2 linked regions of the Arabidopsis thaliana genome follow. The protein of the gene in region 2 interacts with the protein of the main gene of each other region in a biochemical or structural test. Each region holds a gene or a part of one and is shown on either strand. Other genes may lie near its edges.

Region 1 (10,463 bases), on a different chromosome or scaffold from region 2:
ATGTTTGGTCTATAAATGCAAAGATGAAAAAGAAAAAAGGAAAAAGGGAGAACAAATGTCACAAGGAGAGACCCGAGATGATAGCCGAATAAAAGCGAAGTCAGAGAAGCAACGAGCACGTGAGGCAGAGATCGCTTCCAGGAAGGATTCCCGCAGTCTTTTCCCGTCCCAGTAGGAAGACGTACTGGAGTTGAGAAAAGTCAAGAGTCAGTCTATGCAGAAGAAGTTTCAAGATATTGAGGCAACAAGAAAAAAGTGGTATATCTAGGTACAATGCTATGTCTAAAACACAAACAAGCAATATAGAGTTGATGAGCAAATACAATAAAAAGATCAGAAGTGGTCTTTAAAATATATAACACTGTCCGTGTGCACCAAAAAGTAGGCAATAGAGTAAAATCATGACTATTATGAGGGTGGGTACAAAAAACCTGCAGTTTCAGCTTTATCCAAAGCAGAGAGAAACTCTTTAGAAGGAACACGCTTGTCTATGTGACGACCTCGCATAATGGTGTAAGTGCGTCGAACAGAATCCATCCCCTCTGGAAACACGCTCCTGCACATTCAAACAAGTTGAGTGCTGACTGATGCAAGGCCATAGAAGAAAAGCATACGAATAATGGGATTCTTCAACATGGATGGATGCTCAAAGACGTCAAAGTCGCAATTTATTAAATAATCAATCCATTAAAGGAAAGCTTCATTCAAGTGCTACTTGTTAGTGTGTGTGAAGTCCAGCGATCACTTACACATAATCAAAACCAGCCTTGCGAGTCAATTTAAAATTCAAAGCACACACATGACGTAACGTGACGTGAGCTACTAGGAAAATTCCAGAATCAACAATATATTTATTTTAAAAATAAAAAGAGATAAAAGAAGAAACAAAAAAGCTGACGACAGATGATGAGAAAGTGAGATCGTCGGATCTGACGGAAGCAATGTAAATCAGAAATATAAGATTTGGATTAAAAAAGGCAATGGCAGATCTACAAGGAAGCAAGGAAGGAAGGAGGGATGCAAACAAAGAGAACAAGGATGATGATAGTACCAACCTGGAGAGGAAATATGATAACGTCGAGAGGAATCGTCGAATAGAAGAAACTTTTACAGAGGAGCGACGACAACTTTATGGCTACACCTACACTCACTCCGTTCACAGGGGATGGGTTTTAATCACCTGCTCTCGCCTCTACCGTTCTTTTCATGGAACTCAGCAAACTATACTCTAGTACCAATGAAATAATGACATTTATATATGAATTCAGTAATGCTGTATGTACAAGAGTACAAGACTTTTGATGAAAGGATCCCTCCCCTGCTTTATGACTATTGATTGATGCTGAAACCAGCCTACAACTATTCATTACAGGAGAAGCCATTGCAGAGCTATTTTGGGCCTTTGGGCTTTTATTAACATTTACAAGAGGGCCGGAGGCCTTTTTGTTCTTTATTTTCTTTATCTATCATTTCTGTGATTTTGATATCTCATTCGGGTCCATTCGAGTCACACAGTTTTCCTATATGGATGGATTGCTACATCAACGAATCCCATTATTAATGGGTCTCTCCACCGTTTTTCTACTACACAGACAATACATGTTACATACGTAGATAAGTCACACAGACAAAAGTTTATTCTCGTCTCCAAAATAATAATTTACGATCGAATTCACTGTAAGAAAAATCTTCTTTCGAGCAGCAAAAGTTTGTTTTAAAAAGCCTCAAGTTCAACCAACACCTGAGAGACAAAACGACAAATGAATATAGTGGGCTTAGGTTGGTAGCTTATAGAGCTATACAATATTGGGGAAACAAGGATTAGGTGGTCCTACTCGTGAGCCTGAGCTTGCCAACACCATCTTCCCTTGCCCCTCATTGGATCTGCAAACCCAAAATTGCACAAACCCATTAGCCTGAGTTTGTCAACACTTTGACTCCACTTGTGTCTGTTTGCCTTACCTTGTTCACCAGCATGTTCACTTGCTCCCTGTACATCTCCTTCAAGTCCACTATATCCGCTCGAAGTTCCTCCAACTACCACCCAAACCCACTTTTTTATTAACTCAATGCCAACTACTGTTGTTAATGCTGGATACACTACTATTTTATTCACATATCTTACCTCCTCATCTCGTTCACCCATCAATTCCAGAGCAGCCGCGTGTCTTTGCCTTAGTGCTTCCAGCTCTGCCTTTATGCCCGGGACCCTATCTGCCTCCCCCCGTAGCTTCTCACACTACATCCACAGTTACCAGATATAGACGAAATATCATCATAACACTGAGCATAATATCAACTCTAAACTCTCAGCGCTATACATACCTCTGCTGTCATTTTGACTAGTTCTTCAGCCAGGGAATCTCGGATAGACTCCATTGATGCCTGTCCAAAGGCAAATAGACTCTTACAGTTAGATTCTACAGATAACGATGATACTAACAACCAGCCTATACTACCTCGACGAGTAGAGCTAAACCTTCTAAACCAGCTTATAAAAGAAGGCTAACCACGGTGTGCAACTAACCAATAATTTCTCAACATGATCCAAACACCCATAGTGTCCCATTGTAAGGACTGATGTCAACCTCAATCCCATTACTAAGCCAATTGCCAAAAGCCTACCAACAGAGTTACACAAAAATGTCCCAGTTGGATATTTTCTACACCTACCAAGCGGGTCATGTATGAAGCAAGTTCACCCTCTTTCTGTCGAAGTGTGGCTTCATAAGCACTCGGTGTGATGCTCTTCATGTAGTACGGACTCATAGTTGCCTCAGGCATGCTTCGCTTCTCAGAAAATTTATCTGAAGAATCAAGAGAAGCTTGCAGAAAATAGCTCTCCTCCATGCTTCCAAGGCTGCTTGCGCTTGATAGCTTTCTAGGCAAGCTTCCTGATGCAATAGTTAATGAATTACAGATGTGCAATGCCTGACTTATTAAGCAGTAGTATAGATCTAGATGCATCACCATTCTCAAAGGCAGAATTTTGCCTTGCTATAGGAAGCTGTTCAGAGACTGCCGAGGAATTGATACGGGCCGTTCTTTCAAGATCCAAACGTGAAGCCTTCTCCCTCTCTAGGTCCTGAAAAAAATAGGCCATATTGAGAAACTACTTGGACAATAAAGAAGAGTAATAAACTGGAACAGTTCGGTTGTTAATAGAAGCTACTCAGGATGAAAAAGTTTGGGAAAGCACTACTTTGATTGAATTCGCTAGGTACTTCAGTCCTTTAAATTCCGTAACTGATGGGGCATTTTTCATGGGACTAACTCTTATTAGATTAAGTTATGTCCATAAAGCAATGTAGAACCTTTTGAATAAGCTCGTTGTGGAGTAGCACTTCCTGCAACTCTTGCTTATGTTTTCTCCGAAGTTCCCTTATCTCAACTTCAAGTTGGTTTGCTCGACCTTCTAGGGTATCTGCTTCCTCCTTAGCTGCCAGATACTCCTGTCTATTTTCTGCTGCTCTCTGCCTCTCTTTCTCAAGTGACTTGCTTAACTGGCCCTGTTCTGCTCTGAGACATGAAAGCTGGATAGGAGAACTGGGTAAGCTAAAATTTAGAGAAAGCTGCGAAAATTGATGAAGAACAGTGTCAAAAAGCATAGAAAACCTGGGCCTCTAGAACATTGATCCTTGATAATGTTTGAGAGAGGCGTTCATTCACAGAGCGCTCTCGTTCTTCAGCTGTTGCAGCTTTACTTTCTGCTTCCTGAATATTTCTAGAAAGTGAACAAAAAGATAGAGAAAACAAAAATAATTGGCTGAATATAGCATAGAGCAGTGTTGTTCATAACACCTGCAATCGAGAATTCAGAGTTCTTTCTACAGCAGCCCAAGCTTCTGCTGTTCTATATGAAGTTTCCTATCGCCAATCAGATAAGAGGCATGCAATGTTACAATTTAATTTAAGATTCTAATCTCAGGAGAAGTTCTTTCAGAAAAAACATATGGGTCAATTTTTTACCTGCATAGCCTCAATCTGTCTTAGGAGAGGCCTTGTAGACTCAGGAACCTGTGTGATTAATTCCTCACACCTTCGCTCACTAGCCTATAAGAGTGGTTGGTTTAGCAAACAGTAAACAGAACAAACTATTAGTAACTAGAATTATGGTTCAAACGTAACCAAAAGGCGATAACCAAAGAAAGAAATATGCATAGAGACAACGAAACATCTTGATTTGACCTGATAGCGTCTTTGAAGGTCCTCAATTTCTCCACGGAACATGTCTTCCCTATACACTGCCTGTAAAAATTAGAGCCCACCGACTAGGTGAGTATAAATAAAATGATGAGATCCCAGTAGTACTCTATCCCAAATTTGATCGAGGAAGACAAAACCTGTTGCTCCTTTTTGCTTAAGGTTTGCCTCAATTCTTCCAGCGCCTGGACTAGCATAGATTCCCGCTCTCCAGCCTCCTTTAGACGATTCTCTAACTCTGACCTCGCTTCATTGTTGGTACGCTCCTCAGCTAACGCTTGAGCTTCCTTTGCTGCAGCTAATGCGTTTGAGTAATAGTCTTTCTGAGAAGTAAGTTCAGCTTGATGTTTTTCTATGGTCTCTTGCAGCAGCTTTTCTGTAGCTGTCTTGTCCCTTTTAATGCTTTCGACCTTATTTTCTTCCGACTGGCAATTGAAAGGAAAAATTAATGAAGCTAAGAAGCTTAACAAACTTTGCAAATGCTTTAGTTATTTAGATATTAATCCTGCCTACAAGAAGACTGATTTTCAAACCAGCCTTTCACAAAAGCTTCTGGGAAATCAAGAAAACCCCTTCAGGCAGTTTCATCCTTAATGACGTGGTTAATGAAACAAAAAAAAAAAAATCAATTACCTGAAGCTTTGTGATCAGTCCTTTCTTTTCTTCTTCTGCCTCTCTAATCTAACCCTCGTACAAATAAGAATTGCCATGAGACTGTTGGTATTGATAAAAATGAAACACATAGCGTTGAATATATACCTGAGCCCTTAGCTTCCTGATCTGAGCTTCTTGAGCAGCCTGTTTCTTTGAAAGCTCTTCGCCTGAAATGATTAGCATTAATATCAAGAGCTCAAGCTGAGCAAGAAATGACGTCCTTTCATTTTTCAGGTGTTCGCTTTCAACACCATTTTTTTATAACGAGAAAAATACGATCCATAATTCAAGCATTCCAAAAGGCTGTCTTACCTTCAGCCATAACTTGATTTATTATTTCATCCTTTTCTTTCAAAAGGGCCGCAGCATCACTTTTCTTGTTCTGTTCTCTTCTAAGTGTATCCCGCTCTTTGGTGAGAGCATAAACCTACAAAGATAAGCACTGTGAAGGCATATATATATATAATGAAAAGAAGAGAATTGAAAGAGAAGAATGATAAAAGATATAATACCTTCCTCTCAAGAGTTGCAACTCTCTGATGGTATTCTTCTCGCAAAGACTCGACTTCAGCTTCGTTAGATTTCCTCTGTTCCAGAGCAGAGGTTATTAGAATGTAGATTCAAAATCATTCCAAATGAAAGGAAGATGGGCGGAAGACTGGGGAAAAAAGTAATCCTTCATCTAATATCCCATATTCCGCATACTCTATTGTACCTTCAAATCCTCAGTGACAGATTTTAGCTGCTCATTTTCATGCATCAACTTCGCAATCTCATCAGCCTTTGCCTGTAAACAAATCCCCAGAAAATTGGTATAGAAGCACCATATCCGTAGCAAAACCTTTCATGAGGATCTAAAGATGTACCTGAGCTTGCCTTGCAGCACCTTGCAGGGCATTTTCCAACATTTTTATTTCCTTTTTGGTCTTCTCTAATTCCAGAATAACATCAGCAGAGTCGGAAACATTTGTCGCAGAGCTTGAACGCTGGCTTTCATTTAACTCACTAGTATCCAGTCTTGAATCTATTTCACGAGAAACAAAATCCACAATTCTCTCCGAAATTTCATCTGACGACGATCTCTTTGGTATAGAAGACTCGTAAGGAGAACCATCAGACTCAAAAATTAAAGACGGATGAGCAACAGGGGACTCTATCCTATTTACATGATTGATATCTGGTGAAACTTCAAAATTTTTAGACGAGGTTCTCCCTTCCAGATTTTCACCCAGAATTTCTTGTTCATTTGTTGTCTCATCCATATAAGTAATCTTATGCTGTCCATCTAACACAGGGGAGTGAACAGTGTCTTTGTTTTCTACAGTAACCTCTTTTGCTTCAGAATCCTCAGGCTGTGATTCCTCAGCCTCTGACTTGGGTTGCTCGGGCTGTGAATCTTGAGAAGCTGTCATTTCCAGCTTTTCATTAGGTTGAAGACTAGTCTTGTAACCTGAGGATTCAGGAGTCTGAAGAGAATATTCAGAGGACTCTTCGAGAAGTATCTGCGATTGCGGTTCATCATCTTTGGGATCCAAAACAACAGTTTCTGTTACCTCAGGATTATCTGCTTGATCAGCTTCTCTTCTCACGTTTGTTTCTTTATTTGCTTCAACAGATACTGCTTGTTCAGTAGCTAGCTTAACCGATCCAGCTTCTTCTTCTTTTTGTTCAATTTGAGACGGATTTTCTGTACGCACAGAGTCTTCCAATGTATCAGGTTTCTCATCAGAGGTGTTACCCATGAAGGACATAACGGGATCAAAGAGGCTTTTGGTATCAACTGCAGGTGGCCACATACTTGAAGCTGCATCTAAAAAGAAAGAACAAAAGGATTTTTGTTGTGAAAGGTACAAGAAACTCAAGACAAACTAGAGAAGAAAATGATTTGTGCTACAGTTAGGTAAACACAGAATACCCCTGAAATCATAGCCAGAAAAAGCTGTCACCAAGTAAACGCAAAGATCCAAAACAAAGTGTTTTTTTCAAATTCAGAATAAAATGCAATGGGTAGAATCTGAAGCACACTAGCTAAGCTAGTTCTAAGAAAAATAAGACAGAATCCCATAACTTGCAAGATTGTATTATTGCAACAGCAGATTATTGATCTAAACATCCTACATAAAGAAGAAGAAGAAAAATGGCAGGTCCTATCAACAAATGCGCCTTGAGTAATCAAATCCTATATTCCCAGCTGACTAACAGCAGATTATTGGGAAGGATGATAATATTATGTGTATTGATTGGAAAAAAAGTGAGAAGAAGAGAACACCTTCAGCGGCAGAATCGGACTTGTCGTCGAAGCCAAGGGCGTTGTCGAAATTCTTTTCAATGTTTTTAACGCTCTCCTGGAATTTATTGACAGCGCCAGTGAGATCTGGGAATCCTCCCAGAGAAACTTTGCCACTGAACCAAGCCATCTCTACTTGAGAGATATATCTGGAAACTCGATCGACTTAAATCTCAGAAATCACCGGACCAGATCCATCTCCAGCCCTGTGGCTTCCAAGGAAAACAATCAACCAATCGAGTTTAGATCCCAATTACATCACTGAATCAATTATTAAGACGAGGCGATTGGATAAAGCAGAATAGAGCTATCTATTGGGATCATCAATGGCTTACGAGAAGGAGATGCGTCGTCCTTGCCGTCGTGATCGAATTCCGGAGGAGAGAGACCCACCCCTATGTGTTTTATGTTTTTTTAGATCCAACAAAATCCAAATCCTTTTTTTTCCCTCGGCCACCGGCGGTACAAACGGCGTCGTTTCGCGGATTAGAAAAACGTTCTGTCTTGATATCATTTACTTCATTCTAAGCGGCTTTGGTCTGAATTTTTTATATACAAGGCCTGTCTCCGTTTTTGTAAAGGGAAAACAGTAGGATCCATTTTAGCCTCTGTAAGTAACAATATTGGGCCCCTAAAAGCCCACCCATTTTGGGGCCAGCAAACCAAGGCACCCTCGGTTCCGCACGCTCGCTAAGACGCTAACCTATGCATATGTTGATATGTTTTTTCTCTTCCTTTTGGTATGAATCTTGATTTGTTTTGATACTCATGATGTACATTCGTATTCTCTTACGTATTGTAAACCATCCTATTTCAGATCACGATTATATCTTTACATTTACATTTTTCATTTTTATTTCTGTTTGAATGTTACAATTTACTAGTAGAGTTATTCATTAAAATACTACAACTGGTATACAGAAATGTAATTTGAGTGATAAATTATATGAAATAATTAAGTAATATATGTGATATTTATGGATCCAAACAAAAACTAATTACTGGTTCATTTTCTATTTTAGATGTAAGCAAAATGTGTAAGATTCAAGGTATATATATATCCCAATATACGTATATATGTGGTACTCACTAGCTAGTAGCTCTCTCACAACTGTGTCTTTTGGTTTTCATCAGCTGATCCTCTCCAACTAACTATCCATCTTTTGTTTTGCGGTTGGACTTGGAGGTACCAAGAATATTAGCAACGTACGACTCGTATGGTATCATTTCCTTTGTACAAAAAGTGAATATCAAAATGCATTGTATTAATTATATATAAGTTAGTATATGGAGTTAGTTGTCCTCACTGTCTTTATCTGGCGCAATCTCCTATGCCATCATTCCCTCTTCACACGTACGTGTGCACACTCGATGTCACATTTGTATAAACACGTTTGCTTTTAGCGTGAGATCATCACCATATTCCATTTTTGGTGGGTCAGTTCTCTTTCTAGATAGTTATTTGTAAGGACGTGAATTAAAAGGGATCGTCGTCACTTGTTGAGATAAAAGAAAAGATATATGGTCAGTTTCTGCATCTTGGAATCAACTTAAGGGTTGTCTTAATTAATTTTGATAGACCCTACTTTAAAAATTAATTAGTTGCTTTCATTGGCCCTCAATAAGAAAAGCCAAAAAAGAAAGAAGACTGGTCTTGGAAGTTTGCCAACACGGGTAATAGATTAATGGTGAAAAGGGCGAATTTTTTTACCCAAAACCCTAATTAAGTAGAAGTATTAATCGAGAGCAAAAAAGAGAGAGAGAGTCAGTAGCCAAAAGGAATGAATGGAAGAAAGAAAAAGGAATCTCTATAGGCAGCATATATTCAAGTAATTAATTAAAGTAGATAGATAGAGCAAAAGGAGAGGTTAGGAGGCATTAATTAATTATTTAAGAGCATGTGGTGAATGTAAATGTTTATGGTTGCTTCCCTCTCTATACATTATGTATCTACCTTTCCTAACTAACAATTCCCTAGGCCGTACGACGACTAACAAAGAAAAAAACAAAAGAAACTGATAAAGCTTTTGAATTGTAGATAAATCATCTGCTACAGTTATACCATTATATATCTTATTAAAGACCTAAGTTTCCTTCACTATACGTCTTCGTCCATTTACGTACGTATTATACGGACGGTTTAAGCTACTATATCTATATTGTTAACAATGTAACTGTTGAGATATATCTTGCAATAATATGTCATGGTGTATGCATACGATAATATGAATCAATGTTTGAAATCTTGACGTGCCCGTGATACAATAAGATGATCAAAATTTCAAATTTTGTCAAATATTAAAACAACATACACATACACATGTGTCCAGGTGGCATTATAAAATGTATATATGGTGGATATAGAGAGAGAGGGAGATGCGTATAGTGAATAGGAAAGTAAGTAATAAAGAGAGGGTGGAGGAATTGGAAAGGGGTTGGAGGCAAACCCATAAAGAGCATTCATTTCCTTTTAAGGTCGCTGAAATTAATGAGTAACGATCGGTCAATGCCTCTCGCTGACCTTTTTCTTTTTTTACAACAACAAATAAAAATAAAATAAATTTCGACGTCTCTTTCCGCTGCTGAATTACATTTGTTGAATTAATTTTCTCTGCTTACGTACGTCTTCTAAACTTTCTCTATCCGAATTCTTTTTTAACTTTCTAACTTATATTCAACAACTCTTCTTTCCTGCCTTTACCGTTAGTCTAATTGTTTTCCTAATACTGCTACGTACATACCCCTACTATACTAGTCAGTGTATTAGATTCGATTGGGATTAATCCAGGAATATAGATATCCCATTAGTTTTTATAAAAATATTGGAAGAGGACAAGTCTCAAGCAATTTAGGGTTCCATGTAGCGCTGCAATATACTGTTAGTAACTCTCTCTTACCCATATATTGTATATGCTAATTCTTATCAAATATATATATATGCTTCTCCCAGAGTCCCAGTTTCCTATAATCCTGACGCAATTATACTAATAGAGCCAAGTTTACATAATAAAGTATATATGATTAATAGATAGGGTTTCTTATTAAGCCATATCTTAAATTAAGATGTGATGATAGCGTTTTGTATAAGTTACCAATTGTTTGAAAGAAGAGATCATCACAATAATAAATCATAAGTAGTAGTATATAGTAATAAATAAATACACAAGTCATAATAAGAGTAATGAGAGGATAATTAAGGAGGGAAGAAGAAAGCAGAAAATGCGGTTGGAGAATTAGGTGCTAAAAGTTAGTTGAGTCCATCTCAGTATCTAACGGTCAACTCTCTCTCTCTCTAGAGAAAACAATTAAGAAATCTGAC
Region 2 (7,432 bases):
TGAGAATTTTTGGGTGTACACATCAAAAAATGACAGATAGTAGAAGAAGTAAACCTATGACTAGTTCATGTCAGAATTGTAATACATTGCTATTATTTTTGAAGTTTTCAAATCTAAAAAAAAAAAAATCAATGCTTTGTTGGTGATAATAAATGTGACACATACCCTTGTGTTTCTCTTAATCTAGAGAAACAAAATCTGACAACACTTAAGTCTTAGACATTGGCAAAGTCAAAAAGAACCATTCACAAATCCAATTTACTAGTCTCACTTACTAACCAGACACATGAAAAACCTAATAAAGAAAGCTAGAGAAAAAGTGGGCATATAGATCTAATAACATAGGTCTCAATTTCGACGAAAGATAGACGACTTTTATGAAGATCCAAGTACCGTCTAAGAGAGTTTCAAAGGTTTAAAAAGAGTAAAGACTAAGAGTTTAATACAAATATACGGAAGTAGGACCAATTTAAGATTTAAATTCCATGGGTCCATAGTCGTGAAAGAGTATTATAAATATAACGAAAATTAGACTAGTATGACTCTGAGGACTTATTTGTAATTTGTCATCTTACAGAGAGCATTAACGGTCATAAAAGGGAAGTTGGCATTTAATGAATGGGGGCTTTTGTTGGAGAGGGGAGAATTGAAATAGTGTTTCTTTCGTGGCTCTACCATCTCCTCTCACCTACATCTTCATTGATTTCAACTTACTCATTCTTTTTTTTTTTTTTTTGAAGGGGTCTATCTTTAATTATGGTCATTATTGCGAATTATGCGTTTGATGAGTTAGTGGGAAAATTCAAATAAAGCACAAGTGTTATGTAATTTTTAGCTATTAGTTGGTACTATGTATGAGGATTTGATTGATGACAATATAATTATGAAATATAGTGTCATTAAAATTTTCAAATAGCTTGGTTGGACTATTCAAAAATATGACAATACTTTTCAGCTGCAATGAAAGAAAAACAATCGTACAAGTTTCTGTTTTTTTTTTTCTTTTTCAAAAGGATATGTCATAAATTCATAATAAGTAATTACAAAAAAACTCATTCCACTAACTTAGTTCCATAAAATCGTTACGAGTGATTATTGCTGATTAAGTGAGTATACACATTATTTGGGATAGAATTGCTGAGTATACTCCAACTGCATTAACCCACCAGAGCTTTTTACGATGAGAGAAGCTTAATTTTAGGGACATGGTGGAACTGGAGAAAAATACCTGGGAACAGTGTGAGACTTTGAATTTAATTAGCTCATTTAAGTGATCTGAACTAACGACATGTGTACGAAATTAATTATCTGTTTCTTTATGGGTCAAAGATTAAAAATGCTGTGCTTCTTTCTCTATCAGACTATCACATGGAAAGACGAAACGAAATGAGAGTTTTTATTACCTAGCAGCTCACAGTTATACATAATTAAATTCATAGACCGACAAATCACAGTTTTGAGAAATAAGTAAACAAAAGTACTGAAGCAGCGAGCATTTGAAACTCCAAAGACCACAAAAGATCACAGTTAGGGACAAACCATAGCTAAAACAGAGTCTTCTTTAAAAACAATCCGATGAAGAAAAAAAGTTGAAAAACAGGCAAAAATTTTACAGATGGAAGACGATAACTGATCGAATCATGCAAAGGGGCTTGAGGACATTTTTTAGTAGTGTGTTTTGTTGTTCTCTATCGATTTGTTGTTGTGTTGTTGTTGCCAAATCTAACAAGAGCATCCTCCTGATTGCTGCTGAGCGAGAGATGCATTTGCATTGGAAGACTTGAGATTGACATCAACCATATCCTCTTGCTTTGTTGAAGACAATGTCTCCATTCCCGGCAAAGCTGCTGCTATCTTGCGGAAGAGCGCCTAGCAATACAAAAAGGTTTGAAATCATAAGAAAACAAGATTTGCACGGAGTGATAGCGTTATGGATTTGCGGTAATTGTTTAGAGAGTATCAGTGAAAGATCCATACAAATGAGGAGGATGTAATAATCAGCAGGTTGGGTTAAAAATTTATAAGTCTAGGTTAATTAACTATTGAATATTGATGGAACTAAACAAAGTTAGGGCTTAGTTGAACTAAGCAGCAAGTTTTTGTTGTGCAAGAAACCCTCAGAAATGTGTCAAGCCAAGATCTTTGTTACCTTAATGTTGAAGCCCGCTTTGGCACTGGTTTCGATGAACATTACATTAAGTTCGCGTGCCTTAGCTTCTGCTTCCTCTATTGACACTTGCCTGAGAAACAAAATATTTAATACAAAGGCCCAATTGGCAGTAACAAATGTAGTAGGCACCATCAAGTGTCAAAGCGTGTTGACTATAAAGAAACCCTGTAAAGATATGCAGTTGAGCAGCAAATGATTTTCCATTTATTATCTTGTAGGGTCGTTTGGCAACATACTCAATACCACCAGAAAAGTAAGACGTGGTTTAACAACAGTTTGTACTTGAGTAAAACAAAAAAGACACCCATTCGTCTTGTCAACATACTTACGAAATCAGAGCGTGTTTAAACAAGGAGGACTACCAAATTTCAGTCTCAATTGCTATTGAACAGTAATTTGCACATCATGGTTTAACAAGAAACAAGTAGAGGAAGAGATGGTAGATCATTATTACCTTTTGTCCACTAGATCAGTTTTGTTTCCCACAAGCACGACTATGACATCACTACCACGTTCTGTCCTAACCTCATCGATCCACTTAGTAGTGTTTAGGAAGGACTGCCTGCCTATATGTCAGTGGAAAACAAAATAAATCTCGAGTTTCACAACGCACAATGGATCAACATAAAGAAGAAATCGAAACGCATAAATTCATAAGATTACTGAAAACCACATCCCCAAGATCTCAGATATGGGAAAATATTCATGTGTTTGAGAGAACGAGTGAAGGTACACATACTTGCAACATCATACACAATAACAGCAACGGAGGAATCCCTGATATAGCTCGGAATTAGACTCCTGAATCGCTCTTGCCCAGCTGTATCCCTGTCATATGATTTCGGCTCTCGATGTTAATCATCAAAAAATGATCTGCAATGTTATTCTTCAGTATTCGAAAATTGAAAGAGGCTCAAGATCTTACCACAACTGAAGTCTGACCGTTCGATCTTCAAGGTACATTGTCTTTGATAGAAAATCAATACCAATTGTGGCCTGATGATTATGAAACAACATAAAAACTACTTAGAAAAGGAAGAACATTCTGTAAAATGACGATAAGCAAGCATGGTTCACATATTATTAGGAGCTTAAACGTAATTCTCATAATCACAGAACAAGATCAGATGCTTTCATTCATCAATTGAGAACTAATTCGATTAGATAAACAATGATAACATGATCAAAGAAACATCCTCATATTAGTGTTACTGCGATCTTCTATTGGACTGAATTCTCGACTTTGTACAATAAACGAGAGTGAGCGATTACGATGCCAAAATCTCATTCAGCTGATTGTTACGTCCTATACATTGACTAAAACACGATCTACAAATCAGATCACACATAATTACGCAAAACCAAACGCCCGATCACGTAAACGAGTAAGAACTTCGAACTGAAAAACACGATTCCCGTCCATGAAAACGGATCTCAAAATCAATCAAACCCTGGGATTTTCCCGACTATAATCCCTCAAAATAGAAGCAAACGTCGTGCATCGTCGAGATAATACCTAGATTTGAACAATGGAAATTTACCTGGTAAGTGTTGTCGAATTTGTCGTACATGAATCGAGTAATGATACTGGTTTTGCCGACGGATTGATCTCCCAGAAACACCAGCTTATACTTAGCGAGTGCCGAGACCGGAGCCATGATTTCTCAAGGATCTAACTCGCCGGACGGATCTGAGAAACGTCGAGATCTCGCTTTGCTGAGAATAAAAGTTTCCGATATTTACCGGAGAGAGATCCCGTCGCTCTGGAATTGCAAATACTGTATTAGTGAGAGTTTGTTATTCGTAAATTGCAGTTTATTCCTCGAGTGACCCAATTGGGTCATTTATGTTAAATTAGAAACTATTTGAGATAAGTTACAAAATATATAAAAACTTAGAAGCTGATTAAGGAATTTACTACATTATGGGCAGCATTTATAAGCCCACGTAAGGATTTGGGCTAGCCTTATAGTAGGGGGCACGTGTCATCTCGTATGACCTGAACTATTTTTGCCCCTTTTGGCTACTTGACTCTTCTGTGTCTCTCTCATCAAATCAAATCCCTAATTCTCGAGCTCGAAGAAAGAGACGAAAATGGCACTGAGAAATGCAATTCTTCGTCACCTGAGGGTTCCGGTGCAAACCCTAGGATTGAATCAGTCTAAAATTGGGTTCCTTGGTACGATCCGGTCATTTTCTTCGCACGATGATCATCTTAGCAGAGAAGCTGTCGTCGATAGAGTACTCGATGTTGTCAAGAGCTTCCCCAAAGTCGATCCCTCTAAGGTCAGCTCGATCTTCATAAAATTTGGCCAAATCGTGATTCTTATCTTTTGTTTTCCTCATTATTGGGAACAAAATGATTATTTTGCCTTGAATATTTGTCAATGTAGGAGCTTTTGGTTGATTTCGTATTGATCTAGTGGAAATAGAGACCAAATGTATCTGAAACGATGTTGCATTAGTGTTGTTAGTAAATTGAAGGTTATTGATCTCAATGTGGTTTAGTAAGTGTAGCTTATCGTGTTGTTGTTCCTATGGATTTGATTTGATATGGTCATTCTTATGGATTTTGCATTTATGAATCCTTCATCAACTCTCTCTAATAAGGGTTGTTTGGTTAGGGTTATTTTTGTTGATGGCTTTGTGATAAATATCGACAGGTGACTCCTGAGGTTCATTTCCAAAACGATTTGGGATTAGATAGTTTGGACACAGTGGAGATAGTGATGGCTATTGAAGAGGAATTCAAGCTGGAAATTCCAGACAAAGAAGCTGACAAGATCGATTCTTGCTCTCTCGCCATTGAATACGTTTACAATCATCCAATGTCTAGCTAATCGCTGTGTGCTCTCTCATGGTTTCTCCTTCCTTTTTCTTGTATGAGGTTCTTCTCTCTTTGATAATGCCATAATGGGATTTGCAAAAAAATCACTTTTATTTGGAGAGCATTGTTATTGACTCTTTTAACGGTTCCAGTTTCTTAAAAAGAAAACCTTTTTGCTTGAATCTTGTGAAAGTTGACACTTTTTCTTGAGTTAATACTTTAATACGATTTGTATATAATACACTTGATTCTTAGCATGGTCTTGATCATACATTGAAGACGAATCTTTGAAAAACATACTTGTTTTAAAAAACTGATCGTCTCTCTTGGATACATATGCAAGACCAAGAAATTGGATCTTATATACTACATTACATCATAACGTGCTATTAACTAGAATTGTTTGTCAGCCATCTTTTGGATCGAATACAGACAGTAGTTTTCATTTGGACAAGTTTTCTGCTTCATCTCAACTACAGCATTTGTACCAAAATACACCAATATCTCTATCCACAAGTTAGATGTTTTAATTAGGAGATACATTTCAGGTTTCGTTTGAATCGATTTTTTAGTAAATGGGACAAAATGGGTGAACTTACAATATTAAAAACTTGCTAAGCTAATTATGCAAAATGGATAGGGTGGAAGGAACAAAGCAAGATGCTGAAACCGCAACAGCAATGAATCTTGTAAACACATTGTAGTGATATTGATCATAATGACTAAAGAAAGACTAAATAAACATCTAACGTCAACAATATATCTCTTGATTAAGTTTAACCCGAAAGAGACAGACAATGGCGCAAACTATAGTTGTTAGGAACGATTCTGAGAAGTTGAGACGGTTCTTCAGTTCCATGAATTCCTACTTCACTCCTAAGCAAGCCAATCATTCTACACCAAATCTCTTTGCTTTCACTAACATTACTTGGTTTTCCCCATATAAACGCCAACTTTCCGTAGTATTCCCCGATCCCAATGCATCGAGCTTTGTCAAGATCTAAACCATAAACCACTCTCCACAACATCAGCTCAGAGTCATACCACATTAACCCAAATCTAAGGAAGTAAACGAAGAGCACATTGTCAATCACGCATTTTCCTGTCTTCCACCAATTATCTTCAGGTATCGTATATCTTTGATAAGAACCATCTCTAGTATCGTAAGAATTCATGTATTCCCTCGAATTTAAAGCATAAACCTTCCTATCAAGTGAAACACTTGCATGCGTGAACCATTCGTTTCTATCCTTTGCCTTAGGAATCGGCGCTGCTTCCCAAGTTTGTGTCTTTAAGTCAAATACTTCCGCTAGGATCTCTTCGCCTCTGTTGCCTCCGATCACATAGATCTTACCACCGACTAGTCCTACGGTAGCTGATAATCGCTCCACTTGCATACTAGGTCCTTGACGCCACTGTCCAGATTGGGTGTCAAAGATCCATACGATTGATGATGAGGGAAAATTATATCCGGGAATGCAGTAAATCTCTGTATCAATTGCGATATTGGAAAGAGGGTAAGAAGCATGCCCGGGACGATAAGGAACATCGATGGAGACGAAGACATTCTCAGTCGTATTCATCTTGTTATCATTCCTCCGGAGAGTGAACCAGTGAAAAGTCGTCCGGTTCCGGTTCGGGTATGTAGTTCTGGTCGAGAAGCATAGATAAAGAGAGTCCTTTCCGTGTAAAGATCGCGTCTTGTGAATCTCCGGCGAGCGAATTAGACTCCGCAAGGACTTGGAGACGCAACAGAGGATTGGGTAATATCGTTTTGGTACCAAGGCTAAGATGTTCAATACGATGTCCACCGGGAGTGAGAACAATGACGGCGGCGTCAATGAAGACGACGGTGGTTGGTTGGTTTTCTGCGGTGGTTCGTCGGCGTTAGACATCGAGAGCTATTAGGAGGAGGAGACTAGAGAACAACTGAGTGAATCAATCAAATTGAGGGCTTTAGCCAAAAACCAAAAGCCGGTTAAATTCTTCTCTGATTCTGCTTTAATCGGTTAAAACCGGTTTATATTTCTTGTCTTGATCAGGGAAACACACAGAGTTTTAGAATAAGGCCCAGGAATAAGCCCGGTGAGTGAATCTTTCTAAGGAATCGATTTTAAAACAAGGCCCATTAAAGGGTGAAGAAAAGGCCCATGAAAATGCTTAAACCCCCTTTGTCTCCCAGCTTCGTACACAGGAGAGACTGAGATAAGGAAAGAAGAAGAGGAAGAAGAAAATGGCGAATCTTAACTCAGCTATTGATTCAGTGTTTTGGGATCAGAACGTTTCTTCACCTCAAACCCTTGAAGGCACTGCTCGCTCTGTTCCCGGTGAGCCATTTCCCTTAGACGGAGCACGAGCAAGCCGCTCTCACCGGATTCAACAGCTCTCTCTGCTTCGCGAAGGCTTTCCTCTTGGAATCATTCCTTCTTTGGCTC

Evidence for each region. Proteins that work in one complex are often made in the same cells at the same time.
Region 1: the proteins of RAB6A (region 2) and GC5 form a complex in vitro, tested with the Arabidopsis thaliana proteins (one study listed by BioGRID).

What each region holds. Positions count from the first base shown.
Region 1 is NC_003070.9:30,026,235-30,036,697, forward strand, and holds GC5 (golgin Putative 5), read right to left. Parts: upstream 7,668-10,463; 5' UTR 7,480-7,667; intron 7,357-7,479; 5' UTR 7,275-7,356; coding exon 7,127-7,274; intron 6,668-7,126; coding exon 5,724-6,667; intron 5,645-5,723; coding exon 5,573-5,644; intron 5,445-5,572; coding exon 5,370-5,444; intron 5,285-5,369; coding exon 5,170-5,284; intron 5,025-5,169; coding exon 4,963-5,024; intron 4,885-4,962; coding exon 4,837-4,884; intron 4,629-4,836; coding exon 4,344-4,628; intron 4,249-4,343; coding exon 4,129-4,248; intron 4,054-4,128; coding exon 3,970-4,053; intron 3,868-3,969; coding exon 3,802-3,867; intron 3,715-3,801; coding exon 3,616-3,714; intron 3,534-3,615; coding exon 3,315-3,533; intron 3,086-3,314; coding exon 2,971-3,085; intron 2,895-2,970; coding exon 2,674-2,894; intron 2,386-2,673; coding exon 2,326-2,385; intron 2,240-2,325; coding exon 2,126-2,239; intron 2,038-2,125; coding exon 1,963-2,037; coding exon of another isoform or gene 1,912-1,962; and 6 more. Other genes in the region: SGB1 (Major facilitator superfamily protein), read right to left, coding at 73-184, 432-537. UniProt on the Arabidopsis thaliana protein: Golgi matrix protein playing a role in tethering of vesicles to Golgi membranes and in maintaining the overall structure of the Golgi apparatus.
Region 2 is NC_003071.7:18,410,056-18,417,487, forward strand, and holds RAB6A (Ras-related small GTP-binding family protein), read right to left. Parts: upstream 4,099-7,432; 5' UTR 3,829-4,098; coding exon 3,712-3,828; intron 3,167-3,711; coding exon 3,096-3,166; intron 2,999-3,095; coding exon 2,910-2,998; intron 2,737-2,909; coding exon 2,625-2,736; intron 2,241-2,624; coding exon 2,150-2,240; intron 1,870-2,149; coding exon 1,723-1,869; 3' UTR 1,369-1,722; downstream 1-1,368. Other genes in the region: MTACP-1 (mitochondrial acyl carrier protein 1), read left to right, coding at 4,265-4,456, 4,834-5,010; AT2G44630 (Galactose oxidase/kelch repeat superfamily protein), read right to left, coding at 5,774-6,892; AT2G44640 (TRIGALACTOSYLDIACYLGLYCEROL-like protein), read left to right, coding at 7,231-7,432. UniProt on the Arabidopsis thaliana protein: Protein transport. Regulator of membrane traffic from the Golgi apparatus towards the endoplasmic reticulum (ER). Binds GTP and GDP and possesses intrinsic GTPase activity.